Neodiprion lecontei: one gene and its partners. The main gene of each other region encodes a partner of the protein of the gene in region 2 in a complex. Links are inferred from orthologs where the notes say so. Each region holds a gene or a part of one and is shown on either strand. Other genes may lie near its edges. The genes, in order: eukaryotic translation initiation factor 3 subunit M, eukaryotic translation initiation factor 3 subunit J and eukaryotic translation initiation factor 3 subunit H.

What was found.
Region 1: eukaryotic translation initiation factor 3 subunit J (region 2) and eukaryotic translation initiation factor 3 subunit M share a complex: the UniProt entries of both Drosophila melanogaster proteins name them as parts of the eukaryotic translation initiation factor 3 (eIF-3) complex. The link is inferred for Neodiprion lecontei from reciprocal best matches to the Drosophila melanogaster genes eIF3j and eIF3m.
Region 3: eukaryotic translation initiation factor 3 subunit J (region 2) and eukaryotic translation initiation factor 3 subunit H share a complex: the UniProt entries of both Drosophila melanogaster proteins name them as parts of the eukaryotic translation initiation factor 3 (eIF-3) complex. The link is inferred for Neodiprion lecontei from reciprocal best matches to the Drosophila melanogaster genes eIF3j and eIF3h.

What each region holds. Positions count from the first base shown.
Region 1 is NC_060265.1:2,938,208-2,943,272, forward strand, and holds eukaryotic translation initiation factor 3 subunit M, read right to left. Parts: upstream 3,152-5,065; 5' UTR 3,042-3,151; coding exon 2,997-3,041; intron 2,808-2,996; coding exon 2,628-2,807; intron 2,543-2,627; coding exon 2,448-2,542; intron 2,242-2,447; coding exon 2,023-2,241; intron 1,903-2,022; coding exon 1,634-1,902; intron 1,525-1,633; coding exon 1,381-1,524; intron 1,112-1,380; coding exon 903-1,111; 3' UTR 615-902; downstream 1-614. Other genes in the region: cysteine--tRNA ligase, cytoplasmic, read left to right, coding at 3,771-3,955, 4,321-4,663, 4,792-4,932, 5,019-5,065. UniProt on the Drosophila melanogaster protein: Component of the eukaryotic translation initiation factor 3 (eIF-3) complex, which is involved in protein synthesis of a specialized repertoire of mRNAs and, together with other initiation factors, stimulates binding of mRNA and methionyl-tRNAi to the 40S ribosome.
Region 2 is NC_060260.1:36,068,675-36,074,759, forward strand, and holds eukaryotic translation initiation factor 3 subunit J, read right to left. Parts: upstream 4,205-6,085; 5' UTR 4,066-4,204; coding exon 4,050-4,065; intron 3,935-4,049; coding exon 3,852-3,934; intron 3,506-3,851; coding exon 3,392-3,505; intron 3,159-3,391; coding exon 3,020-3,158; intron 1,591-3,019; coding exon 1,426-1,590; intron 1,346-1,425; coding exon 1,149-1,345; 3' UTR 544-1,148; downstream 1-543. Other genes in the region: putative nuclease HARBI1, read left to right, coding at 5,041-5,307, 5,420-5,716, 5,838-6,046. UniProt on the Drosophila melanogaster protein: Component of the eukaryotic translation initiation factor 3 (eIF-3) complex, which is involved in protein synthesis of a specialized repertoire of mRNAs and, together with other initiation factors, stimulates binding of mRNA and methionyl-tRNAi to the 40S ribosome.
Region 3 is NC_060262.1:35,038,387-35,042,003, reverse strand, and holds eukaryotic translation initiation factor 3 subunit H, read right to left. Parts: upstream 1,875-3,617; 5' UTR 1,685-1,874; coding exon 674-1,684; 3' UTR 603-673; downstream 1-602. Other genes in the region: coiled-coil domain-containing protein 174, read left to right, coding at 2,150-3,617. UniProt on the Drosophila melanogaster protein: Component of the eukaryotic translation initiation factor 3 (eIF-3) complex, which is involved in protein synthesis of a specialized repertoire of mRNAs and, together with other initiation factors, stimulates binding of mRNA and methionyl-tRNAi to the 40S ribosome.

The DNA of each region.
Region 1 (5,065 bases), on a different chromosome or scaffold from region 2:
TTAATTTTGTAAGCTACTTAATCATAAACGTTATCATTTCTCATTTTCTACTCGACTCTAAGTTATTGTTTTTCTGTGATGTTCCCAATATTACTAAATACATTTTGTTTGGGGACACTCCATCAAATTCTTTGCATTACAAGTACTCGGTACTAGTTTTTCAATATATCTTTTTAAAATTACAAATCCATATTTGTGAATGAAAATGTAATATTGTGTTCTAAAATGAATCCTGAAAGACAGCTACTAAGGAATTTGTGAGAAACTTATGTCGACAGTAAAGTTTTTACCATTATGCCGACGAGTGGTACTACAGATGATATCATAAATGTCTTGATGAATATTACTTGCTCTACTAATAGGAGGCGGCTAATAATTAATGTATGTGCAATGAGAAATCTTATATCAAGTGCCGTATAAAAGGTTTATCATATTAAGAAGGATATACGAACATTACATTACCCCAGTTTTAGTGTTACGTTGATGATTTTTATTCAAAGGTAATTGGTTGTATGTATATTTACGCCATATTTCGCACTGGAAAACAGTTGCATCAGTTAATGACAGCAGAGTAACTGGTTATGGAACGCTAATGGAACGTATTTTGATAGAAATTGGGTTTGTATTCCAATAATTTTGTTTTTTAATGTTAAAAAATGGAGCTACTGCATTCATTACATCTGTGTAACATGGTTTGGAGTAACTGAGTTCTTTATAATAATATGAGGAATAAATCAAATTTAAAAGGTTTACATAATTGCCCACTATCGGTCAAAATGGAATACAGTAATCACAGCAATACTTAAGTTGTAAAAGTGTTTCATGTGTGATTGAACGTAAAATATACTTCCATATGTCATCGTGAGCTGGATCGAAATGAAATGTATTTGCTACTATTCGGATCATTTTGTTTTTGCCGCAAGTTCGATTTGAGCTGCCGCAACAGTTTTCATGCCTTCCTGAACTGCAGAAAGATTGGTTTTCCATGCCGCCAATAGGTCCCTTAGTTGGGTCCATTGAGCACGGCCGAATGTTCGATGCATTGTGCTTGATACGAGCACTTTGTGGCCAGCTTGATCCATTCGAGCTCGAACCAGTTTGGTTTTCAAAACTATAAAAGTCAAAACTTGAGTAATGATCTCACATAGCAAAGATATAAGACGAGTAGTTCGCAGTAATTTGTACGATGATTATCTTAGTGCGCCAATATAGTTTCTGTTGAACAACTCGATAACTCAACAGCAATTTAGATTTTGCTGAGCCAGTACTGGTTCATTTGATATTTCCCATTTCGTAAATACCCATGCATAAGAAATCAGGCGTGTGTAATATGATTTGGGATAAGGATTTGAACAATCTAAATATTCATGAAACTCTTACCATCGATTATAAAGCTTTCTACTTCATTCTCCTCGATTTGCAGTTCAGATTGAATAGTGTCGAATGACATTTCAGGATTTGTTTCAGCAAGCTGCATAAATGTCAGTAATCGCATCTTTTTAATGTTCTGCTCGTGGTTCAATCCTGCATAACGTGAATTTTTAAAAAATGCGAATCGCTTGTTATTTTTCTAAAGATTTCTGAAAATATTGGAAACTTGGTAAATCTATTTCAATTTGTACATATAACACACCTAGTATATGCTCGACGAATTCTTTATGATTTTTGTAAAACTGAAGATATGCGGGTAATTTTTCTTGGACGAAAACTAGAAGTAAATCGTGAATGAGCTCTCCTTCTAAAAATCTCACAGGTTTCAGAGCCAGCAGCGGATCCAGCAGGAAAGTATTCGGGTCGGCAAGCGCAGCCAAAATACAACGCTGGGCATCTTCTCTGGGAGCAGATGCACTTTCAGCGGTATATGTACCTAGTAGGGCAACCATCACTGCAGCTGCTTGTTCACTGAAAGGTATCGTTCAAAAAATGAATTACTGTACGGAAACAGTGGTATAAAATTAACGAATTACGTTTTTAGAATAATTGAAAGACTTTTAATTATTTTTAGCTTTTCAGTTTCTTTACCTTTGTTTACAACTGAGTAACACTTCGTGCAAGAGGCGATATAATTTCTGCATTTGTTCATTGGATGGTGGACACGGAGCAAATTGTGCCTTCAGTTGATCCACTCCGCCATACACAGCTTTGACTTGATCCACATTGCGTGAAATTTGTACCAGGTGGTAGTAAACATGATATCTCATGGGCGATTTTTCATCCAAGGATTGAAACAGGAGCCAGAGCCTATAACGAAGCATGTAATTTCAGTCAGTCGTTAAATGTTTCAGTCACGAAATTCTTTATTATTTATCTACTTAATTAATTAATTTATTCAAAGGCTGGTATAATTACAATGCGAACTTTTTTGATAGGTTTAGATTTTAGATTTCATGGTTTGTTATGTACAGGATTAATTTTATATCCAAGGAACAAATTTTAAAAATGCTTACGCCTTTAGACAGACAACTCCTAGTTTTTGACCTGGAGCTTTTGTCAACTTTTCACAGAATGCCAATATTAAATTTTCAGCACGTTCAATAGGAATCTGTAAAGGAATAATGCAAGAAAATTCGTTGGAACAAGTTATCCAAATGTCAAGGTGCGATTTGATATTCGCACAGACAACTCACCAGAACCATGATGGAGACTATATCGTTTAGAATTGTCTCAATCTCAGTTTCATTTCCCTCCTTGAAACAGGCGTCGCAGACGCCAATGATTTTATGCAAATCATCTTCGATTCCTCTCGGTGATTTCTCCTCACTTATTTCAGCGCCCAAACTCTTGAAATATACCCTTAATTCTTGTGCCTGTTACAGTGAAAGATTGGTTAATGATTGAATAATGAAAGTCCATACGAACGTAAACCTAACCTAAGCCTAAACGCCCGTCAGTGAATTACAGAATTTCAGAATAAGTTTTTTAATATGTAACGTTGCCAAAATTTAAGCTTAATTCGAAGGAATAGAGCTCGGGAAATGATTATGAAATCTTCTTACTTGGTCCTCTAAGGGCAAATCCATAAAAACCGCTGGAACCTGCATTTTGAGATGTTGCGAACCACGTTTCCGTGCAGCGAACACGTCGAAAAGGTCTCGCTCACTATGCTTTGGTGATTGCTCACTGGCAGCCCGACCAGGCTAAGAAACGTGAGAAAAACATTCGGGTGACACGTAATCCAACGATTGGGGTTCAGTGATCAATGACTGATCGTAGACGCCGTACACGTTTGATCGAAAATTTGGGAATAAATTCAAAAGATGAGCAAACAATACTGACTCTAGATCACTTTTGCGCTAATATCACTGCATCATAAATAAGTATGTGGATGTTGCGGGTCGCATTTGACAGCTGTCAGTTTCACGTGCTCAGTGTCGGGGTGGTCATCCTGACGAACGGAAATAAAACTCGGGTCTAATTTCACTCGGTTGGTCATTAAGAGGGAGAGGAAGGAAATGCTGGTACACGCTGCACGAGCCACGGTTACTTGAGAATTTTTACCTGTGTCGTAAATGACGTTTTAAGGCGTGAGTCAGAGCTGAGACCAGGGCGGTCTTTATTTATACTCCTAATTAACGAACTATTTAAATTCGATTCTTCATCTCTTGTTTCGTCTTTTCGGTGAGTTGAGATTTGTTTTTACATATAATACCTTTCATTGCTAAACCAGGTTTGTTTTATTTCAACACTTGAATTGTTCTCTTAATTGAAAATATTTGACCGCAAATGATCGTTATTTTCTATAAATAATACGTTCCAAACAGGCTTTCGATATGTCTAACAACAAGCGTTCGCAACCGTCATGGAGTCCACCAGATACCAAATCTCGTCTGACTCTGAAACTTTTCAATAGTCTAACTCGACAAAAAGAGGAATTCATACCTCAAAATGGGAATAGAGTTTACTGGTACAGTTGCGGTCCAACGGTGTACGACGCTTCACATATGGGCCACGCTAGGTATACTTATTGTTTATTTAGAATGCATCTTCCCCTTGAATTTTCTTCCAATATTTCATTAGTACCATGTATTAGCAGGATAATAAAATGAGGTCTTGGTTTATTACATTTTGTTCATTTTCATTAATTGAAAAAAAATTTCTGCTGTCGTTAAAGAAGTTGATCATACATATTTTGAGACAAGAAGCTTCCAATCGACAGCATTATTATTGGGCAATGTTAATAAAAACATTTTATCTTTGTTTTGTTCGCTCACATTTGATATGCTTACAGAATGTTAGTGTCAGAGATTGTGTTATCAAATATCAATAACTATTAACAGGTTTAAGCTTTCCCAACAAATATGTTGAATTTCATATGTTCAGGTCTTATATATCTTTTGATATATTGCGACGTGTACTCTCCGACTACTTTGGCTATGATGTCTTATACGTGATGAATATCACCGATATTGATGACAAAATTATAAAAAGAGCAAGACAAAACCACTTGTACGAAGAGTACATCAAAGAAAACCACAATCTCGACAAAGTACTGGATGACGCGAAGAAGGTGATGACGGCATTTGAAGGTACAGTCAGGTCTACCTCTGATCCCGACAAGACCCGTATGATGGAAACAATGCTGAAGAAAATTACCATGGCAGTGGAAGATCTTGAAAAGGCTGTTAAAGAAAATGACCAAGTCAAGTTGAAAGAGTCCCAGAATGTAAGGGAAGATATTATTCCTCACACTTTTATTCATTTTAATTAAAAATTGAGTAAATTTTACATCAATCAAATGGAGCTGACTACTCAGGGATCTAACCAGATGGAATATCGGAATTGATTTTGCAGGCCTTACTGAACCAAGCCAGGGATCCTCTTGCTGAATGGCTTGATAGAGAAAAGGGATCTACAGTTACTGAAAATTCCATCTTTAGCAAGCTTCCGCAGTACTGGGAGACAGAGTATCACAAAGATATGGATGCCCTTAATGTAAGCCTTGATACATATTAACATTAATGGAAAGAAGCAGTTCTAATTATAATTCTAGCGCTCTTAAAAAATCGCACATTTTCCAGGTGTTGCGACCGAATGTGCTGACCAGAGTTAGTGAATACATTCCTGA
Region 2 (6,085 bases):
ATTCTTCGCCCCAATTCAAAGGATAATGGCCGATATATTTCTATTTTAAAGGCCAATGACCATAGACATTTGTGCATTGGAGATACCATGACTGTATAAGATTTTCGTAGGAACAGTTCGTTGTAAACAGTAACTGCTGAGGTCCTAGAGCAAAGGCTGAGATTTATGCAGTCATTAAATCACTGTCATCAAAGAAGATGCAAAAATCAAATGAATTAACTAAACAGTTAATGTTGCTGACGCACTAAACCATGAGTACTTCCATTTTCTCAGATAGGACAAAAAATTCAAGGCTTCTTAACCCTCAGGAAACGTCCAATCCATTTTGGTTCCTCAAAATAATGACGACTTCTTTTTTTGTTTACAGTCGCACATTCGACTTGTGGAACATGTTTATTTCTGACACCACATCAAATTCACAGTGCTGAAAAATTGATTGTCTGAGATTGAACGTAAGAGAACTGGATGATAAATGTTGTAGGGTTTATCAAGTTTAATCGAAGTGAATTTTTCTGGTAATAAACAGCAAATGACGTTTCAACATTCGCATTTCAGTGATCCTTTATTACTTAATATATTCTTTTTAAAATCAACTTTGATTTATCAACCAATACGCACAATGTAAGTAGTTGTTATTAGTTATACAAAATTTATTAACATTGATTATTGCATTGCATGAAGAACTGCGGGTAGGAGAACAGACGTAAGTAATAGTTTTAATAGTATTTGAAATTGAATTAAAGTAGCGTGGTAACAATCAACTCATGGCTCTAAATTGTCATTTCTTTAATTTAGAGCAATTCTTAATATTCAAAGTTATCTAACTATATAGATATTTAAATTTGATATTGTAAAATCTGCACTAAACTGGCTTAATAGAAATAGCCACTGAACCAAAAAAAAATAATGACAACAAACTCTGGTTTCGATGTGATTTAATAATAATATTCAACATGTATAATAACGGGCATGGATCTACATGCCTTACAATCGTCATGTATTAGTACATTCATGTTGGAGCTGCATGTTTTTAGTTTTTTTGGCTGTCACTTTCTTACATTTTGTATAATAAATCTATTTTTTGTCTGTTTCCATGTATGCAGATTGTTGTTTTGTAACAGTAACTGACTTTCACTTACATCTCGGCGCTACATAAAATCATTAAATTCGTCATCAAAACCATAATCGCCATACTCATTTAGATGTGAATTATCACCCTCGACTCGTAGTTTTGCTTTGCCTTTACCCTTGTTCTTCTTACCCTTATCCCCTTTTTCAATCTTTTGTTTTTCGATAGCTAAATTTTCAATTGTCGTTTTCACTTTTTTCAAACTTGTCGAAGACACTGCAACAATTTTAATTTCAATTAAAAAAGAGTGCATATGATTGAGAAAGATAATATTCCATAAAGAGTAAGATACTAACAATTCACGGCAATGTTTTTAATGAACTCTTCGGCGAACGTGGTAAACTCAGCATGCTTGTTGAATTGGTTTATTTTCTTTAAAAGTGCTTCACTGAACTGGTCGAAATCTTCTTTTGTGTCAGGTGTCATAGAGTCAAGTCCTGTAGCAGCTTCAGGGTTCACACCTTAACATAAAAACGTGAGTTTCATAATAAATTAGATAACACTGGTAACTTGACAACAGCACATACAAATTTTTGACCTGTATCTTCAATTTTCGTGATAGCATTTTCTTTCCATCTTATACTTCTACCCAATCCAGTTAATAAGTAATTAGAAAATAATTTTAAGTTTCACAAGTGTATAAATACTTGATGGAACCTAAAACGGTTGTTATTAATTTAAAATAGGAGTTTCTTGTTATTGTTTAATACTTGCGCATTTTCGTTTTTAAAGATTTTAAGATAAACAAAAATTTGTGTAGCTAGAAGCCATACAATCTTCACCACACACCTTTAAAATGAGATACAAATAAGGAATACATTATCGAACAGCTCATCAGGAACAATACAGGAGATTAAAAACAGTATGCAAGGATGTATAAAGACTGACGTGGACACAACAGTTTGTTTGTGCAAAATATCAATTTTATTAAAATACATAACATTATTAAATTTCATTGTATTAAAATTGGTAATAAATCGTATGGATTTCGTTCATCTCTGGTACAGTTCCTGACAATTATAGGTTCATTAATGTAGCATTTCGAAACTTAATGTTGTTAGATAAAAAAAAAAATTAACGTTACTTTCACTTAATATTTCATTAATCTTAGGTGGAAATGTTTACGTGGTTATTTTCATCCTTAATACTGCGCTTTTCTACGTATGTTCAAGCAATGAAAAATAATGCAAAACGTATTCAGAATCACTAATTAAATTAGACTTCATCATTTTAACTTGAAATTTCAAGAAAAAACTACTTCGAAACAAAGAATCTGATTTATGATTAAGTTTATAGACTAATTTGATACAATTTCGTCAAGTTCATTGGCTCAGAATTCTATACCCCTCGAAAATCTATCACAATGTCTTAAGCTTGCCTAATCTCGCGGTAACCACACATGAGTCAAAGTATATCGAAAGAATTAAGCATCAGTCAAATTTGAATAATTGAGAATTTGAATCAGCTTCATCAATTATCTCAGGATTGAATTAAGTTTTATGTTATTTACGAAATATCGCCTCAAGGTTAATTCTAGTATTAAATTAATTATGGTATATTTCACTGTTATACGTTCACCAGAATTCATACGTGTCGGGGTTGTTGTAAGAATGTTTCGGTAAAAAAAAAAATATCTGTAGCAACACCAGAAAACTAAAATTATGTGCAACAGATAAATTTAATATCAATAAAAATAAAATTCCACAAATCTGACAATAATCTGAGATACAGCAGATTCGAATACAGGTAAAAATTAAAAGTGATAGATAGTACAAGTGGATTAATAATAATTATTATGATTGTGAGAATATTTGATAGCAGGGGAGAATTGTTATTTTTTTTCACTTTTTTGTGGTTTACGGGGGCTAAAGTCAACAAGGTTTGACAAACCAAATGTTTCCATGGCTAGTCGAAGATCCGCTTCTTCCTGAAGCCTCTGACGTCTCAACATTTCCGCTCTCCTTTCCTCAGGTGTTAAGGCCTCTTCCTTTTCCTTCGCCTTTCTTTCTGCTTCTTCTCGCGTCTTTTTCTAGATGTGAAGAAAATGATTTGTTTAAAATACTTTGTATCGTTTGATTGATACTCCCAATAGAGAATTTAAATACAGGATTCATCTACTATATCAGAAATATTTCTCAACAATCCTGTAAGATTTCAGTCAATTAAACCGATTAGCAAAGTTACTGTAGTGAATCTTTTATTAAGCGACTATGAATGAAAATAAAATAAGTACAATCATTTTTTAGTAATGGAGACGCTGACCTCACGCTCCTCGATTTTATCGGCCAATGTTTTTTTAGGTTTTGCTTTAGCCTTTGGCACCTCAGCAGCCTTTTCTACATCTTTTTTTTCCTCTTCCACATCTTCCCAACTATCCTAATAACGTCAATAAATATTAAGCAATTAAGTATGCGTCAATGAGATTATTGACATGAAGTGGTAATGGAAATGGGAAAGAAAAAAATATCATGTCAAAGACTTTGGAATAATATACACATCTTTTGAGAAAATGATGTTTAAAGAATAAAAGTGAATACATATTGATTTATTTGACACGGGCAAGATAGGTCGTCAATTTTCATAGAGAAAAGACACTCAAAAATTCCATGCGGTAATTAGGACAAGGTTATGAAAACTTGGTGGTGAAACATATGGAGGCAGAATGAAATTAATGAGAGTATTCGAATGTTTGTTAACTGAATATCACATTGTACTTCGATACCTTAACGTCTTCCTCTTCATCTTCGCCTTCCCATTTATTGGACCTCATTGCGAGGTCGAATTTGGCCTCAACATTATCCGCGTCTGCAATATGATACGATACGAAACGAGTTGTCAAAAATTAAGCCGAATCACGAGAAATTCATTTCCTTTGATCAAATGTATCGGCACAGAATATTTAATCATTTAAAATACATACCCCACTCGTCATCCATGATCTTGATTTTTATGAAATATCACTCAAATAGTCGGAAAAACCGTGCACGCAACAAAAATCAACGAGCCACGGCGGTGCACGGCGGGCCTTGTCCTTAATCTCATGGGGCGAATGATTCAACTGTTTACCGTTGCAGCTCTGGCTGTCCATTCGTCCTCTAAAAACTTGAACAAAGAGAAAGAGTATAGTACGGAGTGGAAGTTGACCGGATACAGTGAAAGAAGCGCCTCTACTGTCTCAAAACCCTAACTATTCTATCTCTTCTCTCTCTCTCTCTCTCTCTCTCTCTCTCTCTCTCTCGCCAATTCTTCTATGACCTTCGAGAATAGCGTGGCTGAGAAAAATTTTGAAAAATATACTTAGGCCGGTATTCATAGTCAGTGCTTAAGACCGGACTCGAATAAGACGGTCTTATACGAGGCCTTAAGATGGCGTTTGGTTCCATAGACGTCAAACAAGACGGTCTTGAGACGCGGCAAATAAGACGGTCTTCATCAAGTCGGTCTTATTCGAAGCGTGCTTACAAGGTTGCATAGTCCAGTCTTATTTGAAATAAGCATGGTCTTGAGCACGCAACGTTTCATAGTCAATTAACGCAGTCTTATTTACGTATCTTGATCAAGTCGAGTTCGGACTGCACTTAAGCAAATGCTTGTTGCCTAAATATTACTCAATTGTTCTGATGCGTACGAAATTGATAATTACGAATTGTTTGGAAAATATTATATTCGAACAATATAAATTAACAGGAATAGATTGTGAAGGAATGTTTGGGAAAGTGCAGCTGGGACGGGATTATTTACTGTAAAAGGGTAGCAACGGAAACTTGCAATTGAAGTAGAGGTTATGAGAGCATTCGCTTTGAAAAATTTGTGAAGTGAAGTGAATAGTGAAATTCTACTGACATGGCGAATATGCAAGATATGTTTAATTTCTACGATCAGATCGAAGAAATGAATAATATGATTGTTCAATGGTCAACGTTGGGCCGAATGACGAAGACGAGGGTGAAGTACAGCGAGCTCCGAAGAGATACATCAGAGATGGTCAAAACCCGTTCGAGTTTTATTCCGAGCAGGAGTTCAAACGGCGATTCCGATTTTCAAAGGATGGTATTATGTACGGAATACTACCTAGAATTGAAGCTGCCTTAGTCAGTGCCAATAATCGTGGTCTACCAATTCCACCTGTCATGCAATTATTAATATGTCTACGATTTTACGCTACCGCTAGCTTTCAAGTAAGGATCATTGTGATTATAATTCCTGACATTCTACTGAAAATATAAAGTGATTTCATTGCTTCCTGTGATCATGGAATAAATGATTGCTAATACATTTTGTACTGTACAGCTCGTCAACGGAGATCTGATGACTATATCGCAGTCTACAGTATCGAGGATAATACACAGAGTATCGGCTCAAATTGCATCATTGATTCACGCAATTATCAAATTTCCTAGTACGGAAGCTGCTATGATCGCAAACAGAGATCTATTCAGACAACTTGGTGCACGCAGGGAGGGTATCGGTTTACCTGGCGTTGATGGCGCTATCGACTGCACTCACATTCGATTATGTCATACGAAATTTGCAGACCTGCAGGAGGTTTATAGGAATCGTAAGGGATATTTTTCCCTCAATGTACAGGTATGTCGCGTTGGTGATAACCGTTTACAAATACCATAAGTTGCAATTAATTTTATCTAGGATACAAATAAACAATACTATTCTATGAAAATCGGTACTTTTAATTTAAATGATACCACAGGCAGTTATCGGACCCAATATGGAATTCTTGGATGTGGTTCCGGAATGGCCTGGAAGTAACCATGACAGTCAAATATTCCAAAATTCACGAATTTACATGCGGTATCATGAGAGACAACTTACTGGAACCCTGGTTGGAGATGCCGGCTATCCGTGCTTGCCATTTCTGCTGACTCCACTGGCAAATCCAATTACAGATGCTCAACAAAGGTAAGATAAAGATTATCGCATTACTTTAGATTTCGATAA
Region 3 (3,617 bases), on a different chromosome or scaffold from region 2:
GGCAGATGGCGCCACCAAACAACCGGCCGCACCGTCGACAAAGCAGAATCCCGTTACGAGATTGAGCCATTCGTTGAAAGCACGGCTGCAACTTTGAAAGTGAAGCATACGGTAACCTGACATTACCAACAAAGGAATTAGAAGCTGTTCTGCGGAATTACCGATGCCAAGCAGAATTGTAACGCTGCATTATGCGCCTATATACTATGTACCGATTTTGCATGCGAAAATTAAGAGCATGTATATATACATATATATATATATATATATTTAATTCCAATAACGGTTGATGGAAGACTTCCGGGGAAGAAAATTGCACCATTCTGCTATGAGGATTCTATTTTATACTGGCCCAAACTAGCCCAGACGTGGCAAACGATTGCAACAAAGACCAGGATCTTGCAGTCAAAATATTTATCGTTTCATATTTACTTATCAAATATACAAATAATAAATCAACACTGGCAATATTGTAAATTGATACCATAGATTGCACAAATTTTAAGAATAAGTATTGAAAAACCGTTTGGAATAATTTGAATACACTGTAATATAAAGAAAAAAGAAGAAATAATATTTAGTTTAGTAATTAGTCCAATCAATGGTTTGAAAGGAAAACAGTTTTATTGTTTTCAATTGGAATACAACGAGTCTCTGCACAATAAGCTACAGATTAATTGGTAGACTTGGATTCCTTGGCATTCTGTAGACTCTGGGTGATGTACAACTTTGCCAAACTTTGAGAACAGAACTGCGATATGTGCTGACTATAGGTGTTTATCTGTCCAGCAACGATCATGGGGTTCAGCCTGGGGGGAACAGGCAACGGCCTGAGCAGCTTGTTGATATCGTCATCGGGTAGAGGCGCCTCGTCCTTAGCAGCCCTGGCTGCGTTCTCCTGTGCCCGCTTTTGCATCAAACGATTCTTGTCTTGTTGCTGACGAATAACCAAATGCTGATGACGGTTGAACTTAATAGCTTCTTGGTTCAGCTCATCTACTCTGTCCATCAAGCACCTCAGCTGGTTTTCCAGGACCGTGGCGGTACCGAGGTCAAGATACTTGGTTCCTTCTTCTTCGGGAATCATTTCCTCTAGTTCAGACATCATGATGTTTGTAAGATTGCTGTTCTTTATGACAATCGGCACTTCGACGAATAGAGATTCGTAGCCAATTTTTAACGTGCGCAGCGCATCGGGCGTAAATTCTCCTTCCTTGTACATTTGGATCGCTTGTGGAGTCAAGCGATAAGCCTTTAGTGTCAAAAAGCCCCTAGCAGACTTGGCCGTGTCGTAAATAACCACCACTGACTCTTCGATGGATGTCTGATAGTGAAACTGCGATTCCAACAGAGGATGGCTCAGAAAGTTTCCAACGTCAGCGCTCTGGTACCAACCAACGTGAAAGTGGTCGACGTTCACTCTACGCAGCCTGCGCATCATGGCAAGTTGATATTCCTCTTCATCCATGGTTTCATCGTTCTTGGGAAACGGAAAGCAGTTGGTGATCTCCAGCCGATTGTTGACAACCAAACCAAGCAGAGCACCCTGAGCGACTTCCATGTTGCTCGTGGATTCTTCATGACAGTGTTTCACCATTTTCATCACTGCCAAACCGTCGGTCTGAACGTAATCTATCCGGGACTCCGTCTCCGGTATCCTCCTCGATTGCCCTCGCGTTGTCATTTTGTTCAATTAAAAAATCACCTCTCTTGTGCACGAAGCGTTGCAAATTTCAACCACTCAATTTAACAAAAACCGTGCTTGATAGATAGGCAGATGGAGGACGGTACTCAGCTAGGTTAGGAAGGAAGGAACGACGGAAACAGGGCACAGCCAAAACCACCGGACCCGGATCAAAAGGAAACGTCAGAAAATTTTCGAGCTGTGTACTAGCGTCCTCTGAGCCGACGGAGGTTTTTACAACTAATTTTCGATAGCGCGTACATACATACGTGTCTGTATTCAAACCGTATTTACCATCTCGAACGCAGTCGATAATATAGTGCATCAAAAGTATGCAAGCTAAATTAAGTTAGGTTAGGTTTGGTTAGACAAATCAGAATCTTCCTGCCCTTCCTGCCAATATACGTATATAAACGTCAGTAAACAGTGAAATGGTAATAAACGTCAAATGATTTAAAATTGAACATGAATAATTCAAAGAAAATAAACGTGAATTATTCATCATTAGTGGGTTTGAAAGCTGAGCTTCTGAGGAAACAAACCGAAGTTAAAGACGCGAAAGCAAATGCGGAAGTAACTTCTATACAGTCTAAGCACAAGGTTAGGACTAAAAAGTCCAAGACGAAAAAAGTAAAAATTGAAAAAGAACTAATTGACACCGACGATATAAAAGCTCACAAAAAGTCGAAGTTGATGCTCGAAGCAAAAGCTAGGCTTTACGAAAATTTGAAAAGGTCACACAGCAATAAAAACGAACATTTTCTGGTCGACTTTGGTAACAAACCACAGTCAGAAGATGAGAAATTCGATTCGGATGATTATGAAGATGCAAACTCTGACCCGGAAGAAGACTGGGTTGAATACGAAGACTGCTTTGGACGGACAAGGAAATGCCTCCGTAGAGATTTGTCGACAATGCAGAAAAAAGATGACTTTGTAAAGCACGAAGTCATGAAAAAGTCCCAAGGAGATACCGAAGTTGAGGATGTCAGGCCTCCAGATGTTGTCACACCTCCGAAAGAGCCAGAGATTGAAATAATGCGAAGAAAATGGGAGGAGCAAACGGAAAAGTTGACTGAGAAAATGAATATTCATTATCAAGACATTCTCTTTGACGAAGCGAGAGCCCACGGCGTTGGATACTACGAATTTTCCCAGGATGAAGAAATGCGAGCGAAGCAGCAAGCAAACTTGGATGCATTGAGAAAGGAAACCATACAAAAACAAAAGGAAATGCAAAATCTAAAGGAAATGAAAGACAAAATGGAACAGAACAGGCTAAAGGCGGCTAGAATACGACAGAGAATAAGGGCTGGACTGCCCCCTGAGCCCACGGACGAGGAACTCGTGAAAAATGATGAGGTGAATACAGACAAGATGGAAGTTAAAGCAGAAACTGAAGAGAAAGTCGAATCTGATGAGAGGAAAATAATTGAATATAGGAAAGAAAATTCACTTATCGAAATTGAGAACAAGATAAAAGCTTTTGGCGAACTGCTTGGTAAAAGAACACAGTGGTATGAGATGTCGCAAGAAGAATGGGTCTACAAGCGGAGAAAAGATAGAGATGAAGAATTTGCCCCCTTATACAATAATTTTAGAAGTTCCGGGTATTTAGAATCCAAGAATACCGATCAGGACAAGGATGAAAGCTCAGCATCGCTCGATGATAGCTTATCTGGTAAAAATGAGGAAACCTCCGAAAGTCCTGCTATTATCGAAGAATGTGGCACAAAGAAAACGGCCGATCAACTCGATGGCACGGATAATCAACAAAGTCATATTCCGCATTCTGAGACTTCTACAGAGTTATCACAGATTACCATGCCTAAGCAAGTGATTAGCAATGCTGACACAGAATCATCGGATAGTAGTGGTTCAGATGTAATCGGACCGATGCCACTATATACCGAATTACCCACACAGCATGTGA